Linked DNA regions of Alligator mississippiensis. The protein of the gene in region 1 purifies or fractionates together with the protein of each later gene. This does not show direct contact. Links are inferred from orthologs where the notes say so. Each region holds a gene or a part of one and is shown in the gene's direction. Other genes may lie near its edges. The genes, in order: MTMR2, SBF1 and MTMR10.

What was found.
Region 2: the proteins of MTMR2 (region 1) and SBF1 purify together in Homo sapiens (affinity purification with mass spectrometry; 6 studies listed by BioGRID and IntAct, with this or other methods). This does not show direct contact. The link is inferred for Alligator mississippiensis from reciprocal best matches to the Homo sapiens genes MTMR2 and SBF1.
Region 3: the proteins of MTMR2 (region 1) and MTMR10 purify together in Homo sapiens (affinity purification with mass spectrometry; 5 studies listed by BioGRID and IntAct, with this or other methods). This does not show direct contact. The link is inferred for Alligator mississippiensis from reciprocal best matches to the Homo sapiens genes MTMR2 and MTMR10.

What each region holds. Positions count from the first base shown.
Region 1 is NC_081824.1:446,672,410-446,676,151, forward strand, and holds the start of MTMR2 (myotubularin-related protein 2), read left to right. Parts: upstream 1-1,036; 5' UTR 1,037-1,124; coding exon 1,125-1,210; intron 1,211-3,742. UniProt on the Homo sapiens protein: Lipid phosphatase that specifically dephosphorylates the D-3 position of phosphatidylinositol 3-phosphate and phosphatidylinositol 3,5-bisphosphate, generating phosphatidylinositol and phosphatidylinositol 5-phosphate.
Region 2 is NC_081827.1:1,961,811-1,965,552, forward strand, and holds the start of SBF1 (myotubularin-related protein 5), read left to right. Parts: upstream 1-1,574; 5' UTR 1,575-1,632; coding exon 1,633-1,687; intron 1,688-3,742. UniProt on the Homo sapiens protein: Acts as an adapter for the phosphatase MTMR2 to regulate MTMR2 catalytic activity and subcellular location. Promotes the exchange of GDP to GTP, converting inactive GDP-bound Rab proteins into their active GTP-bound form.
Region 3 is NC_081834.1:35,308,378-35,312,119, forward strand, and holds the start of MTMR10 (myotubularin-related protein 10), read left to right. Parts: upstream 1-1,084; 5' UTR 1,085-1,539; coding exon 1,540-1,593; intron 1,594-2,692; coding exon 2,693-2,753; intron 2,754-3,742.

The sequences.
Region 1 (3,742 bases):
AGACCCCCACCTTAAGGTGGCTTTTAGCTGTACTTGGTGGGCACGGACCCATTCCCAATGCACCTCAAACAGGCCTGCCCAGCCTGGCGTGTGCAGGGGCTCTCGGACTAGTTCGAGGGCCAGTGGGCGCTGGCCACGTGCCCTGTACCGGCCCCTTGGAGCGGCTGTGAGGACGAGGCTGAGGGGGGCGACGGCTCCATGTGGGCTCATGTCCGCGCTGCATTCGCGCCCCACCCAGGCAGGTCTGTCAGCCTTGGCTCGCACTGCCCGGCCCCAGGGTGCAGGTTTTTGTGTCGGTGGGTTGGGGGTGTTGTGTGTGTGACCCTGGGGTGTGGGTTTGTGTGTGTATGTGGGGTATGTGTGTGCACCCCTGGCCCTGGGGTGTGGTGTGTGTGTGTGCACCTGGGGTGTGTATATGTATGTGGGGGTGTGTGCCCTGGCCCTGCTGTGTGTGTGTGTGTGTGTGTGTGTGTGTGTGTGTGTGTGTACTCCCACCCCTGGGGGGGGGTGTCTGTGCACTGCTGGGGTGTAGGTTTCTGTGTGTGTGTGTGGGGGGGTGACCCCTGGCCCTAGGGTGTGGGTTTGTGTGTGTGTGTGTGTGTGTGGGATGGGTGTGTGTGTGCCCCTGGCCCCCAATGTGGTGCATGCTTGGGGTGGTGTGTGCACACCCCTGGGGTATGGGGGTGTGTGTTGGGGGGGGGTGTGCCCCTGGCCCCCAATGTGGTGTATGTTTGGGGTGGTGTGTGTGCACCCCTGGGGTATGGGTTTGTGTGTGCGTGGGGGTGCGCCCTTGGGGTGTGAGTTTGTGTGTGTGTGGTCTCCCCTGGCCCCAAGGAGTGTGTGTGTGCACCCCTGGGGTGTGGGTTTATGTGTGTGCGCGCACCCCTGGCCCTGGGGTGTGGGTGTGCGGTGCGGTGCGGTGGGATGCGGGGCAGGCGGGCGGGTCTGGCACCGCCCCGCGCATCCCGCCCGGCCGCATCCCGGCTGCTTCCCTGCCTCCCTCCCGCCCTGGCGCCGGCCGACCGCGCTGCACTGTGGGCGGACGGACATGGCCGCCTCCTGCCCGCTGCCCCCTGCCTGAGCCGCCTCCCTCCCTGCCGGCCCGCCTGCCCAAGCCTCCCGGCATGGAGAAGAGCTCCAGCTGCGAGAGCCTCGGCCCCCCGGCGGCGGCGGCGGCGGCGCGGCGGCCCAGCGCCGACTCGCTGTCCAGGTAGGAGCCGCGGGCCGCGAGCGGGAGGCGGAGGAGCCGCGGGCCCGGGGCAGGGTCGGGGGTGGGTGGGTGGCTGGCACTTCCCTGGCGCGGGCGGGAACCCAAAGTGAAGGGCCCAGGTGCAGCCTCTGCCTTGCCTTCACCTTCTCGACCTGCTTGGCACAAAGGAGAGGACCTCGGATTGATGAGGGATTTTGGTAGCTGCTCCACGTTTCGTGCCTGGTTTGGCCAATGCGTGGAAGGTGGCACCAACCATGTGGCTTTATGTGGCTGTGGCAGACCGCCATTGGAGACGAGTTGCACTCACTGCCAGTGAAACCCTGGCTGGCACACGCATTGTTTCGGCGAGGTGATATGGCGAGGATGGTGTCTGACCTCCGGCTTTCCAGCGTTGGTTAACTTCTCCCTGCTCAAGGTCGCCACCTTGGCAGTGCTCTTTTAGCAGGGATCGTGCGTGCACTTCCCTTGGCGTTTAAAGCAGGTGTACTGACGACGCAGAAATCCCATCCCCTGGCATCTTCCCGATGCCCGCGCAAAGCGTTAGCTGGCTTGGGACCTTTTAGATCCGCCACAGCGACCTGCAGAGAGAGGACAGGCGCCTACTGGAGTGATGTAGACCAGCGCTAGTGGGGAAAGGGACGCTTTGCCAGAGGGTTTCACGGGGGAGAATTGGGGCGAGGTGACATGTTGGGTAGCCAGCTTGTAGCCGTATGGGTCTAGAGGAAAAGGCGATCAGGACTCGTAGTGGAGATGGTAAGATTTTTCGTCTGCAAAAAAAAATTATTTAATTGTAAGCTTTCCGGCACAAACACCCTTCATCAGGCATTGGAGAAAGATTGTAAAAGTTCTTCTGGGCAAAGCTAAGGAATGTTAGTCTGTGTCAAGGTTAACTAGTGCTAGTGATCAGTCACATATTTGGGGTTAATACCCTCTTAATAGGCACAGTCAAACCTGCCACTAGAGGGCTGATGAGCAAGGCTGGGCGAGGGGCGGCATGCCTGTCCTGCTTGCTCATTCTCTAGTCACAGTATAGGCAAGGGAGGAGGGGGTAAGGCCATTGGTGATGCATAGGGGTGCATGCAGGTGCACGTGCACCCCCGGAGATTGGCCGTGCACCCTGTGGAAGCACCAGCTGAGAAACTGGAAGTGCCGGCAGAAGTGCATTTCTGGTTTCACTGCTGGTGGTTCTGGGCTTGGCGATCAGCTGCTGGGGACCACCCCCCCGTTGGTGATCTGGTCCCCCCCCCGACCCAGGAGGCACCAGTTGCCCATGGGTAAAACCCCCCCACCCCCACTGTTTCACTTGCTCCTTCTACCCCTTGCTGCCCCAGGTTCCTTCTCTACCCTGTGATCAGCCTCTTTACGCCTGGATTGCCTCTTCACCCTCAAATCACTGAACGGCCACCCTAATCAGCTAGAGAGCAGTGGTGGCTGTCACAGTGGGGAGGGGTTTGCCTTCCCTTCCTGCTACTGGGTTTCCAAAGCCTGTGCCACCCCATGCACCCCGATCCATCCCCGCTGGGCTGCACAAATGCTTGGCAATTCCTTGCCTTCTCCCCCTGCCTCTCCTTCAGTTGCACTGCCTGGTGGGGGCTGGATCTAAGTGAGCAGGGCCAGTGTGGTCTGCAGGGACCCCAGGAGCAGGCAGGGAGGGGGTACCCCCCACTGGCACCTCTGCTACTCAGGCTGATTGGGGCAGCAGGACAGTGATCTGGGGGGGTGGAGGAACTGGTGAGGGGCAGAGCAGTTGTGGCAGGAGAGCGATCTAGGGGTGGGGAGGGCAATTTGGGGTAGGGGGAGCAGCAGATCGGTAGCTCCTCTCCCCCTCCCCCATTTTCCCTACCCACTCCATCTTCCCTCCTGCAGTACCACCCCTGTCCCCTGACTCCCCTACCTCCATCCATTTTCCCTCCCTTCACCCCTTCCCCACCCACCTGTTACCAGGCTATTCCCAGCTGTCAGTCATCATGCAGTGCCTCCTGGGATACTGGAGGACTGAAAATGGCTTAATCTTAGGTGAACACTCAGAAGTTAACTCAAGATGGGTAGCACAGCTCAAAGATAATTCTCATCCAAAGTGGCATAATATTAAGATGCATTTGTTAATGAGCCTTAATATGTGATCATTCAAGTTTTAAGTGCTCTTGGTATAGTCTTAATTGTAATGTGTAATCTCACCTATAGGTGTTTTCAAATGAAGTGGATCAACTGTGCTGGACTGTGTTCTTGCACACCTGATCTGCTTTATTGGGTGAAATGTATGTTTCCTGTTGTCCTTGTGTGTTGATGCTGTGGGGCAACAGGTGACATGTTCTTTGAGACCTGCATGTCCCAGGAATTCCAGCTCAGGATCAGGTCCCTCAAACCCTGACTTTCCTTGCTTACTGAGATGTGCCCAGGAGATCATGGGGGCACATCTGCATAAGTGGGGAGAACAGATGCACTCTGAGGGGCTTGAGGGCCCTGATTCTGTCTGGGACTTCCTGGGGTATGCAGGATCAGGCCCCTCAAGCTCCCAGACCATCTGCCCAG
Region 2 (3,742 bases), on another chromosome or scaffold:
CCAAAATGCAATGGCCTAACCAGTGCTGCAGGAACCCACGCCCGCCCAGTCCACCGCCCCAGCCCAGCCCTGCCTGAGCTCCCGGGGCAGCCCACTGCAAGGGCGTCCGACTGCCGCCGTGGCCTGGACCTGGCATGGCCTGTATGGGGGATAAACCCTGGCAGAAGACGTCTCTGGGGCTGCGCCCGGTGATCAGACCCTCGCCTCGCTGATGCTACGCTCTCGGGAGCAGGAGCTGCGGCAGCTGCTGCCTGCTCCAAGCGCCCGGTGCCCTCCTCCTCCCGCTCTCCCAGCGGTCAGGAGCCCGGGCTGCACGGGGCATGGGGCCACACTATCACAGCTCTGGGGTCGCAGAGATCCTGTCCTGAGCACCGCTGGCTTCTGCTGGGCATAGCCGCTGTGCTGCCCTGCTGCGGGGGGGCACCAGGTAGCACCCCCCAGCAAGCTCCCCAGCATGGAGGCACAGGGGCCATCGACAGCAGTGGAAATCACAACGGGAGGCTGGAATAGCGACTGCCGTAGAGCTTGGAGGTGCTGCCCAGGGCGCAGCGAGACCTAGCCCCAAGGCCGCCTGCCCAAGACCGCTCCCAGGGCAACGAGACACCCAGCAGGCAGCCTAGAGATGCCCGCCCCCGCCCCTGCCCCTGCCCCCGGGGTACAGGGGGCTGCGGCCGCCAACGTCCTGCCGCTGCCAGCGAGCGAGCCCCAGCTGCAGCCTGTGCCGCGGGCCGCGTCCCTGCCTCGCCTGGGCCGGCCGCTCCCTCCTGCCGGGCAGCGATCGCAGGCCCGCAGGAAACGCGGGGAAAGGCCTGAGGTTTTGGAGGATGAAGCACAGCCCTTTCCTTTTCCCTTGAGGTTTCCGCGGCAGAGGATTCCCGTCCCCTTGCCCTGCCCTGCCCCGGCGCGGCTGCGCCGCGCCCCAGAGACAGCTGCATTTCCCTGGGGAAGCCGGGCCTCGCAGTGCTGGCCCCCGCCGCTCCCCTGGGGTCTCTCCCCCGCCCCCACCCCCGTTTATTTGGGGCCAGGGGGCTGAGGCCACATTGGGCCAGGGCTATACGGACCTGGGGCTATATGGGACCAGGTCTATATGTGACCGGGGCTGTATGAGTCTGGGGCCATATGGGACTAGGGCTACATGGGCCTGGGGTCATATTAGGCCAGGGTTATATGGGCTGGGGGCTACATGGGGTCTAGGTGCTATACGGGGCTGGGCCTATATGAACCGGGGGCTAGGGGTTATATGGGGCCAGGTCTATATGAGGGTGGGGCCACAGCGACAGGGGCTATAGGGGGCCCGGTCTATACGGGGCTGGGGCTCTACTGACCAGGGTTAGACGGGCCTGGGGCCATGGGGGCGGGGCCATACAGGTCCCGCCGTATAAGGCCCGTGCCCGGCTTGGCCCCGCCCACCCCGGCGTCCTCGCGGCCCCGCCCCCTCCCCGGCGGCAGCCAATGGCGCGGGCGCCGCCGAAGCCCCGCCCCCTTCCGCCGTGCGGCGCAGGCGCAGTGCCACAGCCGGGAGGTCGGGCGGAGGCAAGATGGCGGCGGGCGGCGGCCGCGGGCGGGCGGCGGAGCGGGGCGGCGGGGCCTGAGCGGGCCGCCTCCCCCCCCCCGGCCCGGCCCGGCCCGGCCATGGCCCGCCTCGCCGACTACTTCGTGCTGGTGGGCTACGAGATGGACAAGCGCGGTGAGTGCGGCCGGGGGGGGCGGTGAGGGCAGCGGTGAATGGTCCAGCCCCCCTCTTCCCCCCCCCCCCCGGTGCAGGCCCCGCCGCCGCTGCCTCAGCCGGGTTTGCACGCGCAGCGCGACGAGGCGGAGGGGCCTGCCACGCTTCCACGAGCACGCCCGGGAGTCGGGCTGGTGCGAGGGGCGTGCACGGGGCAGGGGCTTGCACGGACGAGGGAGCGAGTGAGCGGGGTTGGCAGCTGTCTGTGGGGGGTGTGCGCCGTGCTGCGCGCCGTGCAGCGGAGCAGGGGCCGGCCGCGCAGCCGGACCGCCGGCGTTACACGACCCGTGGGACTTCCTGTCGTGAGCGAGCGCCTCTCGACCGGCGGCTGGCACCGGCCGATCTGTCCGAGCAGCGTCGTGCCGGCTTATCCCGCTGGCCGGCACCCCTTACGCCTCGCCCGCTCGACGGGCACCTGCAGACTGTGACCGAGTCACCCCTGCCCTGCCCGTGCTGCTCGGGGGTGCGTGGAGCAGCTGCACGCGCGTGTGCAAGGCCCTCGGGCAGCCCCTGACGATGCTGGACCGTGAGCGGAGAGCGGCTGCTCCCCGTTAGAGGGGGTTCGGTGCCGCCTTCGTCCCTGTGGAGCTGGGGCCGCCCGCCGTGACCTGTCTGGGTCTCTTCTCTCGGGCCCCGAGGCCGCCACCCCCGCTGGAGCTGAGAGAAGAGGGCCCTTGTTTCGTGGGTTTCGGGCTGTGCACTAATGTCCCTGCAGCAGGAGGTAGAAGAAGTAGGTCAGTAAGTTCCTCAGGAGACAGAGGAGGAGGAGCGCGAGGGGCTGGCACCCGCTCAGGCTGAGCCTTGCTGTAGCTGGGTGTCTTCTGGCATGCAGAAGATGCCGGTTGTCCCTGACGAGCGGTCCAGGGCTTTCCCGAGCTGCGTGCGGGATACGCTGGGGCGCTAAGGGGCTGCAGCCCTGCTTTTTGTAGGCGGAAACCCCCGGGGGCCCAACCACTAACACTGATTTCCCAGGAGCCGGTGGGTGATTTTTGTGGTCCCTGCAGCAGCGCTGCCTGTTCCCCATCTCGCGCTTCCTGCTGTCGTGCTCCTGCGGCCGCGGAGGAGCTTGGGTGGTGTCTGAGTCTGGAGAATGCTTCTTGCGTCAGCCACAGTGACTCACCGTCTTACTGGTTGGGTTGGTCCTGACAGCCAGAACTGGCGTGCCCGGCCATGGAGGGCCTGGCCTGCTCTTTGCCAAGATGAAACGAAGCAGGTTTGTCCTGCAGCCCACTGTAGGTACACGCAGCCCTTCGGGGGTCTGACCTCCTGGCAGGCCGGGCCTCCGGCTTGCCGGGGTGGGCTAATGAAGTCAAGCTTCCCAAATCCTTCTGCAGCAAGGTTTGGCAGAGCCTGCACATGGCGCGCCGGTCCGACTCTGGCAGGGTGCTGTGCTTACTGCCAAGTGATCGGGGGCCGGGGCTCCTCGGGGCGGAGGATGGAGGGAGGCAGCAGTCTGGCGCCTCAAGCTAGTCTTTCTCCCTGACTTTGTACAGAGCCAAAAGTCAGAGAAACCTTTTTTGTGGTACTTGAGATAGGCAGGAAGTGGGATTTGACTGTGGGGGCTGTGCCGGGGGTGGACCTGTCATGCTTACAAGACTGTTTAGGTTGGTCTGTCTTTCCCTGGCAAGAAACATCTTCTGTGCCAGGAAGCCTGGCCTGGCCCTTTCAGGGAGGACCTGCCAGTGCAGAGTCATGCTGGCCTCTGAAAGCACCATTCCCTGCAGCCAGCCCTGCCCTCGCCCTTCGACAGGGGCTAAAGCAAACGCTGCCTCTAGCCGGGGGCTCTCTCACTGAGGGATCCTACCATGGCAGGGCTGGATGCCAGCGCACCTGGCGTGTTTGTAACTCTGGCCTGCAAGCAAAGGCTCAATGGCTTTTCCTCCAGCTCAGCACAGTCCCTAACGGTGCACCCTGCGCTGCAGCGTGCTCAGCCCCTCTGTCCAATTGGGGCATGCGTTACAGCTGGCCGAAGCCTTGCAAGCAGCCCAAGTCCCTCTGCATCGGCGCGGTGCCCGG
Region 3 (3,742 bases), on another chromosome or scaffold:
ACTGTACATAAATCGATTAAACAGGGCAATACAGTAACTAATCACATCACATTTTATTTAATCAGGTGAAGGACCACTTTTATCAGGGTCACGGAATTCAGAAGAGCTGCTTTGGGGAGATTTTGGGGAGACCTAGGACCACTTGATGGTTTTTTGAGAAACTGATCCAGGGATGTGTTTTGCTCATGGTAAATGTCCCTGTAGTGCTGTAAGTGCAGGGATCCAGCGCCGTAAGTAATAACATGGGTGTAAATGGCTGAGCGCCGTAAGTCAAAACACTGTAAACTGAGGACTGCCTGCATAACCTACCCGATCCCTTCTAAACTTTTTATTCTACATGTGTTAATGACCCTCTTCTTTTTAATGGTCTTGATGTTCCATCACTTTGTTCTGCCATTCTGCTGTCTGTCCCCTGCTCCTGGTAACCAAGCCCGTTTCACAGCCCTGCAGACTGGTTTTAACTCATTCCAATGAAGTTATATTGGTTTTTGCTCACATCGTAAACAGAAAGTGCAGCTTGAGGCCCCTGGCCTATGAGGAAAGCATCTAGTTTATTTTTAACTGGAAAAAAACAGGTGTTATTTTAGATGTGACGATGCACGCCACCATCTGCACCCCCCCTTTCAAAATCTTAGATCTGTCCTCACACGTGCGTGTGTGTGTGTGTGTGTGTGCATGCTCATGCACGCTTACTCTTTTATACCCTCCAGCTATGGATCACGACTGATCTTTTTCCATTTCAGTCATGGTTTTTGTACAAGGTCGTGCCAACCACGGCAGAAGACACGTTGGCATCCGGCTTCTTCCAAGCCAAACCCATGCCACGGCTGGCTGGAGAAGGTGGAGGAAGCCATTCATTTGGAAAGCCGTTCAACCCTTTCTTTCCTTGTCTCTCTGCGGGGCCCGCGGCGCCGTGCCCTGCCCTGCCGGCCGCGCCGCTCCGCAAGGGGGGCAGTCGGTGGTGCGGGAGGCCAGGACACACCGCGCGGGTCCCGCCCGCCCACTCGCCCCGGCCTGGCCTGGCCTGGCCTGTCAGCCCGGCCCTCGCGCCGGGGCTGGGAGGACTCGGCTGGCGGCCGCGGGCTCCTCGGTGCTGCCGCCGGGCTCTTCTCCCGCCTCCCTGCCCCTTCTTCAGCCCCGAGGGCGGCTCCGGGCCGGGGCAAGTGGGCAGCGGCCGCGGCCACTTTCTCTGTGTGACTTGACCGCTCACAAAGGCCCTGCGCCGGCGAGGAGGAGACGGGGCAGCGCCCGCGCCGCTTGGCCCCTCCGCGCCGCCGTACCGTACCATACGGCCCGGCCCGGCCCCCCAACATGGCCGCCCAGGGCCCGGCGCCGCCGCTGGGGGGAGGCCTCCCGGCCGGGGAGGGGCCGCGGGGCTCCGTGCGGGTTGGGGCAGCCCCAGGCCGGGCCTGCCCGGGCAGCTGACTCCTCCCCGGGGAGGGCGGGGGCCGCGGCCGGGGTTGCTCCTCTGCCCGCCGCCGCCTCGCAGCTCCGGAGCCGGCGTCCGCAGCGCCCGTCCCGCGGCAGCGCCGGGCCGCGATGTTCTCCCTCAAGCCCCCCAAGCCCACCTTCAAGTCCTACCTTCTGCCGCAGGTAACACCCCGCCCCGCCCCGCCCCGCCCTGCCCGGGCCCGGCGGCACCTGCGCGGAGCCCCGAGGCGGCGGCGGCCCGGGCCTGGCTTCGGCTCCGGCTCCTTTCCCCGCGTGTCGCTGTTTGGGCTGCTGCGGGCGGGGGCCGTGCCCGTGTTTAAACCCCGGGTGACTTTCAGGAGCCGGTGCCTGTCCCGTGGAGGTGGACGTTTCACCTGTCACCTCGGCTCCTGGCTCCGGGGCCCGGGGGAGAGCGCGCCCCCGTGCCACTTGTGGGACACTTGCAGTCCAGACTGGGTGGGTGGGCGGGCGGAGGAGTTGAAGGGGTAGCGACCCAGGAGCCCCTAGGACTTTGGTCCAAACCTGGTTATGTTTGGTGTCTGCGTTTTCTCAGTAAAACAGAAATGATAGTGACAAGCGCTCCTCGGGGTTTGTATTTCTGGGCCGAGCCCCTTCTCTGGAAGTGGAAACCATTAGGTTCTTTGGCAAAAGTTTTCTGCATCGCGGGTGGTGCTGTACTTTAATTTATTTCTGGAAGTAAAAACAAAATGCTACGGCACCTTTTAAACCAAACAGATCAAGCTTTGGCTTCACAAGTTTCTCCCTACGGGTAAACTTACTCCAGCGATTGCCAGCAAGGGGCTGCTGCGCCTGGGGTGCTGTGAGATCCTTCTGCGGGTGCCGGACAATATTAGCGCCACTAGGTTTGCAAACACCCACATGTGATTCACAAGATAAAGCCAGAGATTTTAAGTAGGAGTCTATAGTGTTAAAAAACATCTGACTTTTTGTAGCCTTTCTGAGTTCTTTGCAACAGAAGAATTGTTCTGTTGTTTTTTTTGTAGTCAAAACATGAGGGAAAGCTGAGAGCTGGCATTTTCCTAGGGGTGCCCTTGAGTCTCTAACTATGTTGAGACCCACTGGCTTACACCCATGACAGTAAAAGAAGATGTATGTGCATGCTTCTGGCTCCATCCACCTGGATCCTATTCCAGCACCAGAGCCTTTAAGGCTCACTAGGGCTCTGATTCTGCCAAGACCTGGTTTGTACATGTGCATAAGTTTAAGTCCCATTTGTTCCTTTTTTGTGTGCATGTTTCAGGCTGAAGAGAAGATAACTCCAGAACCCAAGATTAAGAAGCTGGAACCGGTGCTTTTGCCAGGTAAAAAATAGAAGCTATATCTAGATAAAGTTATTTTTAAGGCTTCCACTTATACTAGTCATGTTAGTAACAGAGATGCAAGTTGTAATCTGTTTTGTTACTATTAATACATTTTATTCCATTCCTTAGTATGAAAGAAATGAAAGGAAATAAAGTTGTAATTCAGGAAGAAGATCTAGTTTGTGCTGTCGGAAGAAAGCTTTTCTAGTTTTCTTTAGCTCTTAAAACTAACTGAACATAGTAGGTGGGGTGTTGTCCTAGCAGTGATGGTTCAGGAAATGTCTGAGAGGCAAGACTGTTTTGTGGCATCTTTTATTGAACCAATTTATAGTGAGGAGAGGAGTTGGACAAACTTCTGGACATCAGGCCTGCACCTGCATCTCTGTCAAACTTGAGAAAGGACGCTCCAATCCTTGCCAAACTAGGCATAGGCAGGCATGCATTCTACATATTCATGATAAATTGTAGTTTGATATTTACTTGAGTACCTGTAATCTGGTAGCTTTGGTGACATGGTTTAGGCTTCTGTCACTTTGGATCACTGGACTGCAACCCTGGTTCTGCAGTTGGATTCACATGAGCATACGAAGCTTTGCCCTTGTGCCCTAGGTAGCTATCCTTGGTTAGTTTAAAACAAATGGTTGTACAGTGTACGCATTGATTACAAATACCTATTTTGTGCACCTTTAAGTTATAAGATTTGAAGTACTCTATTAAACACCCATTTTTTTGGAATTGATGAGGCATTTTGAAATAAGAATGCAGGACATTATTTCAAATGTGTTAGAAGAAATAGTGTGGGGTTAATTCTTTAAAATCCATAATTTAGAACAGAATTTGTGAAGTTTGACTCTTGTCCTATCTCTTTCTATTAAGAAATAAAACTTCTTGGTTATGTGATAGACATGTGGATTGTAAGACCTTGTTCTGGAACTAAAATTTCATTATGTTACTACAGATGTACCTTGAATCACAAACAATTACTTAGA